2 linked regions of the Oryzias latipes genome follow. The protein of the gene in region 1 interacts with the protein of each later gene in a pairwise test. Links are inferred from orthologs where the notes say so. Each region holds a gene or a part of one and is shown in the gene's direction. Other genes may lie near its edges. The genes, in order: zfyve27 and fkbp8.

Region 1 (3,916 bases):
ACAGAAGAGGAGCCGTCCACTTCCAAAAAAAGAAAGCTACATTTAATAGACAGTATCAGGAGTCCTACTTAAAATACAGATTTATCCCAACGGGAGATTCCCTCAAACCATTCAGCATTGTGGTGAGTTGGATTTTCTATGCACTTATTTTGAAGGCATGTTTAAATGTTATCATAGCGACCAGGGAGTGTTGCCGGCAGAGAGGACGTTGCTCATGTCATAATTCGTGTTTATTGTTATGTTTAGAAAATACCACAGTTTGCATGCAAGTCATATTATTTTGTTGTACTGTAGTGTCGGTCACGTGCACGTTTGGTCTGCTGTCAGAGTTCCGCAGGCTGCAGGGGTTACTGTCGGAGATGGCATCACAGAGAATTAAATCAATTCCCTTTGCCTGCTTTGGTCAAAATAGGGTTGAGCACGGTGTTTCTTTTGGCCTACGGGTCCTTTTATCTGGCAGTTATGTTGTTTCACCCTTAGTTATTTCTTCCTGTTGTGTTTACACCATGAGTGTGGGAAGGGGAGAGGATGATGACACCTGTGCGATGTACAATGTTTAACGTGTCAAAATAAAAGTGCAGAGTACGTCTTATCACGTGTCTCTGCCTTTATTGCAGAGTTGCTGCAGCATGTGTCCGCCACATGTAACATACCGGTTCGTAAGAATTTTGCCAGACATCAAACCGATCAGTGGCGCAATAAAGGTTGGGGATCACTGATGTAGACGATTGTCCTGCTCTTTATTGTTTTCTAGTACTAAAAGAGTAGGGAGAGATTTCGAACATGTACAATGGTCTATACCACTCATTGTCTGTATATAACGTGGGGCAAAAAAAGCATTTAGTCAGCCAGCAATTGTGCAAGATCTCCCACTTAAACAGATGAGAGAGGCCTGTAATTTTAATCGTAGGTAAACCTTAACTATGAGAGACAAAATGAGGGGGGAAAAGAATCAGAAAAATCCCATTGTCTGGACACAGCTGGGTGTGACTTCACCCATAGAAAATACCTTACTTCCAGCTCCAGTGAAATGAAGACAATTCAGTTGCCATTTTTCCGCGATACGGGTGTCCTCATTTGGAGCCAGTTGACCGTGATTGGTCCGAATTGGTCTGAGTCCAAATTTATAGGGCCACTGCTGTCACCAATCAGAAGTAAGCTCATTTGAAGTCCACACCTGTTCCACTAAAAGTGGCTCAGGAGAATCTATCAATCAAATGTCCGAGGTGGGGCTAGCGGGCACCAAATGGTTTTACTGAGGCATCTGATTGGTTAGTTTAAAACTTGAATAACTGACGTTAAAGAAAAAAATATCCTGAAAAAATGTGATGTTCCATACCTCCACAGGTATATCTTCAGGACCAAGTGCCTTTCTATTCTTTATTTTCTTCAATGACCCCTCTCACTTCACCCCATTAATCTTTTTTAATTCCTGCTCCACAACAGTCACCTCTTTTATTCTTTCTCAACTCTTCCAAGTATTCTTCCCATCTTTCCATTACACTACTGACACCTGTCAATACATTACCATCCTTATCCTTACTCACCCTATCCTGCTGTCCTCCTCTCGGTCTCTGCCTTAGAATGACTGAACATTAGCTGTTTATTTCTCAATAGACGTCTAGGGGATTTTGGCTTCTAGGAGGCAGCGGGTACTTTCTATTTGGAACGCGAGGGAAGAGGGGTCAGTCTGAGTCTGTCTCGACACACTGTGTTCCCACTGCCCGGTCGAGGCGCTCTAGGATCGTCTCATTTGGGCTCCGCCCATGAATGTCATCAGCTGTTTAGCCTGGACCAAACCGGAAGCGAGTGTTCGGGAAAAGCTTGCGCTGAGTCGAAAAATCTCCCTAAAGTAAATTGCTGGTTTAGTCCCCGCGCATGCGGTGCTCTGTGCTGCTTCCGGGTTTCAAGGGGGAGTCTGCGGTCATGTCGTTTCTGCGGGTCCTCTGCTCCCGCCGCGCAGCTGGGGCCGTCGGGACTCGCTAGCTTAGCCTGCGCTACTACTTCTATACCCCCCGCATCTTAACGTGTCTGGGTTGGACCCCTTCTGCTCTGGGTAAGAGACCCCCTTCATCTTCAGCTCATGAAGTCGCAGTTTGAGTGAACAGGGATTCACGAAAGCAGAAAATGAAACAGGAAGTACCAGTGCTCTGGGCACGGAAACTTCCTGATTTGCGTCGAATATGGAAAACACTCCTGTGCCAGTCACACACACAGGGACACACACACTTTCTCGTACACATTCTGTGGGAGCAGAATATCAACGAACCCTTAGTTTGGAAAATGTTTTTACCCAGTGTTGCCAGAGAGTCATGGTTTTCCAGCCCAAAAAAGTCATCTTAAAAACTGCAAGACCCCACAAAAACAGCTCTAGTAGAAATGTTAATCAGTGATTAACTAGCCTGAAAGTGTGGAAAGTGGTATGAATATTAACCAACATGCAAACGCATATCTCACATCAGAATTGTTTTTTCTAAAAATAGCAGGTTCATATTGGGCCATAGAAGAATGTAAAATGTATGTATATAGCGGTTCAGTCTCCCACCTGAATGTTACAGACAACCCATAACATAGACACAGTATGGAGAATGTACGCTCTCTCACAAACACACTAAACTTGCACATGGGTCTAACCTTCACTGGTAAATGAAGTCCACACACTTCTCCCTCTAGACAAAATTCTCTGTGACTTTGGCATAAAAGCTGTCCTTATCGTCTTCTAGTTTTATTAATCTCTTAGTGTCAATGAAGTGTTGGTTTATCTGTTACTTCCCATTTTGACTGAAAGTCCAACTCTGATATTTTTTTAATCATATAACATTTGCCATTTTTACAGTCAATCAGAGCAAAGCATTAAATAATTCACTTCTATTTACTCATCTTCTGATCTCTTTTAAAAGTGTTCCTAGTGGTCTCTCAACTAAGATTCTACAGTTTTTAGCTAAAATCAAAAAGCCTATCTTTTTCTAGGACATAGTTTCTGTAGAGTGCCAGTAGTTCATTAAAAATTCACTTCTGATCTGTGGGTGGGAATGTTGTTGCAGAGTAAGCCCGAGCCCACTTTCCTCTGTTTACACGGTCTCCCAATAGCTCACAGCCCCTCACACCCCCAACCTAACAACAAAGATGTCAAACAATGTTGGAGCTATCCAGCTGTGCAGTTCTGAGCCAGATGCCAGCTCAAACGAGGAAAAAGAAGAATGCGTGGATTTATTTGTCTGCTAGTGGATGTGGGCAGCTGATCGTTGCTGCTGCGTCCAAACTACAAACTTTTTTAAACAGTGTTTTTTTTGTCTGATCCTGATTCGCTAGAATTTAAATTAAATAATAATCACATATGCAGTTTTGGCTTATTTTTTTGTTTAAGTCCTCCATCTTTAGAAAAAATGCCACAAGAACGCATTAAAAATGCCAAAAAACATCATTTTTATCAGTGGGTCTTTACTGCTAAAGTAGAATAGAATATCTTTATTTCTATAGCACTTTTCCCAGAGCAAGTCACAAAGTGCTTTACAAAGAGCATAAAATCATATCAACACACAAAAAAGTGATAAAATACAATAATAATAATAGTAAAACAAAACACAGTAAAACGTGGTAAAACTAGGACTAAATCAACTAAAAGCTCTCCTGAATTAAAACGTCTTGACCTAAGATTTAAAACACTCAACGGAGTCGATCTGACGCAACGACAATTGGAGGGAGTTCCAAAGACGAGGAGCAACAGCTTGAAATGACAGATCTCCTCTGGTCTTAAAGCGGGTTTTTGGAATGCTTAAAAGATTCTGGTTGGAAGACCTCAAGGATCGGGCCGGAGAGTATGGGGTTAAAAGGTCAGAGAAGTACGTCAGAGCTTGACCATGCAAGGCTCTAAAAAATTAAAGTAGAATTTTAAAATCAATTCGAAATTTGAGCG
Region 2 (3,841 bases), on another chromosome or scaffold:
AAAAAATGTCCAATCGGCAGCACATCGGAGGCAGAAACAACACAGAGATCGTTTAAGCTTTAAAAGTAAAAATGTGTGAGGAAATCCAGGAAGAATCACTCACAGCTTTGATGACTAAACTTGCGTTTTCATCTTTCGCTATTCTTTGGTCACATTTGGATTTATGTGACACCAAAATCAGTTGAAATGTGTTTTATAGTTTACAGTCCAGAATGCAGCTGCTTCTTTTTCACAGGAACCAGAAAACATGAAGACATCAGAGATTTTACATTTCACCACCATCTGAAAGAATTTACAGGACTGACCAACAAGCAGTTCTCTGTTTTTCAAAGTAAAAGTTCTGTGCCAGCCACTGATTCTTTTACCACCCTTCAATCAGTGAAACACATTTATCAGTAAAACTCCTTTATTCATTTCAAATTTTTGTTTTTAACTAGTAACAATGTTTAAGTACATTATTTATTGTGTTTTTCTATCTTTGAAACTTATTTGGGCGAACTTGTCTGGTTCTTCGGTTCATCAAATGTTTAATAATGATTGGAACTGTGTGACATCAGGATCTAAAGCATAACAGATCTTTCTGCTCTAAAAGGTTCGCGTTTTCGTGGTGAAGGATGTTCTCCGTCGTTTCATGAGTGAGCACAGGGTGTTTTTTAATGGAACCATTAAGGGGGCTTTTAATCTGAAAGCAGAGAAAAGCTTCTTGAAACATTAAAGCGATGCAGAGTGCTGCTGCGCATGCGCGAGGATCTACCGCTGTGACGAAGTCAGCCTGAGTGTCCACTGTGGCCCTTCCCGTTGGCGCCGTGCGCTCTAGACTTTTCTATTCGCAGTCTAACTTCCTGCGTGAGCTTGAAGGATCGGGACGCGGCTGTTGGACCAAAACAAGGCTGGAGGTGAATGTTCGCGTTCTAATTTACAATTTTAAGAACTTTTCTGTGTGTGTTCCTTCGTTTGGAAGTGATTCTAATCGACGACTTCGTTTTGTCAAAATGTCAGTGTCACTAAAAACTCTTAGTTTGATGGATGCAAATAAGCTAAGCCGCTGGCTCATAGCTAGCTAACCCAGCCACCTTCAGCTAACGCTAGCATTAGCATGTAGGTTTTGACCGAGAAACCTCGTTACTTTTTAAAAACCCACGGAAACGTCAGGTTTTCTGAAGTTTGGAGTAAAACTGTCTGCATGCAATGTTGGGGAACTGTAACGGATATCCTGGTCGGTACGTTAACGTCAGATTCTGCTGTTTGAAGAGCTTTTCTGTGAAGCTCAGAGATAAGCGAACAGAAAACGAGCTTCCTCAGTTTGACTGTCTTCTCCAGAATGGAGACCGTGGAAGCTGCAGACGGCCGCGAAAACGCTTCTTCTTCTGCCAGAAAGAGCGGACAAACGTCGTTGCTGGACAGCGGAGAAGACTTCGAGGTTGTGGATGAAGAGGACTTTGATGAGGAGCCTCCTCCTTTAGAAGATGCGGGAGGTGGGATGGAGAAAAGTTCAGATGAGACGGCGAAGAGGTCTCCACATGAAGAACCAGAGGCTCCGGCTCAGCTGGATGAGTGGTTGGATGTGTTGGGTGAGTCTGGCACTTGTTTGGCCTCTTCCCGCTGATGTTTCTTGGAAGAGAGAACAGTTCTTCATTTGTCTTTTGAATCTGACAGGTTCTGGAAGTAGTTGTGAGTTCCAAACAAGCATTTGGTGGTAGTTCTTGACAAGCCAACAGTTCTCTCTCTGCAGGAAATGGCCAGCTGAAGAAAAAAGTCACGGCGCCCGGGAAGGGACGAGCCAGTCGGCCTCAGAAGGGTCAGAACGTACGGATCCACCTTAAAGCTAGCCTGATCGATGGGACTCTGGTGGAGGAGCAACCTAACTTCTCCTTCACTTTGGGAGATTGTGATGTTATCCAGGTAAACCCTTAGTGGTGATATATGTCAGGGTTAGCCCCAACGCTCAAAATTACGTCTGCAGGTCTTGTTTTGTGGATTTGTCTCCGGTCAAACGTCAGTCAACACTTTTCTTCCAGGCTCTGGATCTGACGGTCCAGCTTATGGAAATGGGAGAAAAGGCTCTGATCCAGTCAGATCCTAAATATGCATATGGAGACAGAGGAAGGTGGGAGATAAGCTACTCTACATCAAACGCTGCAAATTGGTGATATAGAGAATTTTAACCATCCTTTAGAAAGATGGTAGCAGAGCCCAGAGTCTGAGGAGCCTCCAAATGAAATACTTTTTATTTTACTCACAGGTGGTTTAGTAAGTGGGAGGGGCTTTTTGACACACGTGGTCAAAAAAGTCTTGACATGTCTCACATTTACATAAACTTGGGTCAATAAGACCTTAAAAAGCAAACATTTGTCTTTAATTCAAGAGAATCTGTGTCTTTTCCTGACATGGGGGTAAAGGAAAGGAATCACTGGGAAATAAACTGTATGGATCCCTGGAGATTCACAGAAACAGACTGACTATGCCATCCTTTTTTTTTTGTTGGGGGGGGGGGGCGCTGCTGTTTTTGCTTCAGTCACTAAACCTGCCTGTTTTTTTTTTTCTCGTGTCAGTCTTGAACCTCGTGTTCCTCCAAACGCTCAGCTGTCCTTGGAAGTGGAACTCCTGGAGGCCACTGATGCCCCCGATGTGGAGCTGCTGCCCCCCGCAGAAAAGATTGCCCTCGCCAGTCGTAAACGAGAGAGGGGCAACGTCCATTACCAGCGTGGAGACTATGCGTTTGCAGTCAACTCCTACAGCATCGCCCTGCAGATAGCAGAGTCCAGTTCCAAAGGTGAGACCTTCATGACGCCGTCCCGCTTTCCCGGCAATGAAAGCTCCTCCCCCTGATCATCTTGCGGTGACTGATCAGTAACTGCAACTTTAAACCAAACAATGACGTGAAAATCAAAGCCCTGCAGATGTGAATGAGTCTTCAGTGGATCTTTTTAGCTTTTTTGCTCTGATCTTAGATTGAGATTTATTTCAAACATGTGAAGCAATACAAAATAATAATAATAATACATATAAAAAGAAGGAAGTTTGATATTGTCGTTGTGTTTTGTGGGACAGTGGACATCCGGCCGGAGGAGGAGGACGAGCTGCTGGATGTGAGAGTGAAGTGTCTGAACAACATGGCCGCCTCTCAGCTGAAGCTGGACCATTACGATGCTGCTCTGAAGTCTTGCGTTTCAGCTCTTGAGCATCAGCCAGACAACATAAAGGCACTTTTTCGCATGGGCAAGGTTGGCCTCAGTCCCGGAGCTTCTTGCTGCTGCTGAATGTCTGCTAAATGGTTGTTCTTTCCTCTAGGTTCTCTCTTTGAAAGGTGAATACACAGAAGCTATTCAGACCCTGAGGAAAGCACTGAAGCTGGATCCCAGCAACAAGGTCATTGAACTGTTTTCTCTTGGCAGATTGTCATTTTTACATTTGGCCAGTAGGTGGTGCCACAACCTAGACTATGGGTTGCAGCAGGCCACGTGGTCTGCTGAGTCAACATATGTGGAGATCTGTTTTCATGTTGCTGCTGAAAATAGGTTCACCCTAAGGCTGGGCTAATGCCAAGCCAGTGTTTGCTTCTGCTTCTGCACTGGTTAAATGTGGTTCTGCAGCCATACATGGACACAGCCGGTTCCAGTGTGTAGGCTTCCTGGACCAGCTGAGGCCCAGAACCATCGCTGTAGTCCCACTCCAATCTGTCAGACTGGAGCAGCCAACACACGAGATGTTTGATCTGTGGTGTTTACTCCTCTGAGAGACGCTGTGTGTCTGAAAATGTTTTATCTCAACATCCCTGAGGTGACCTTTTGCATGGACACCTGCATGCATGTTGGTGCAGATTTCCTGAAATGGATGAAAG

What was found.
Region 2: the proteins of zfyve27 (region 1) and fkbp8 interact in binary tests that used the Homo sapiens proteins (3 or more experiments, as listed by UniProt). The link is inferred for Oryzias latipes from reciprocal best matches to the Homo sapiens genes ZFYVE27 and FKBP8.

The regions. Positions count from the first base shown.
Region 1 is NC_019859.2:28,354,431-28,358,346, reverse strand, and holds the start of zfyve27 (protrudin), read left to right. Parts: upstream 1-1,746; 5' UTR 1,747-2,056; intron 2,057-3,916. UniProt on the Homo sapiens protein: Key regulator of RAB11-dependent vesicular trafficking during neurite extension through polarized membrane transport. Promotes axonal elongation and contributes to the establishment of neuronal cell polarity.
Region 2 is NC_019862.2:8,041,963-8,045,803, reverse strand, and holds the start of fkbp8 (peptidyl-prolyl cis-trans isomerase FKBP8), read left to right. Parts: upstream 1-751; 5' UTR 752-1,188; coding exon 1,189-1,220; intron 1,221-1,320; coding exon 1,321-1,571; intron 1,572-1,732; coding exon 1,733-1,902; intron 1,903-2,018; coding exon 2,019-2,107; intron 2,108-2,552; coding exon 2,553-2,773; intron 2,774-3,051; coding exon 3,052-3,224; intron 3,225-3,291; coding exon 3,292-3,369; intron 3,370-3,841. UniProt on the Homo sapiens protein: Constitutively inactive PPiase, which becomes active when bound to calmodulin and calcium. Seems to act as a chaperone for BCL2, targets it to the mitochondria and modulates its phosphorylation state.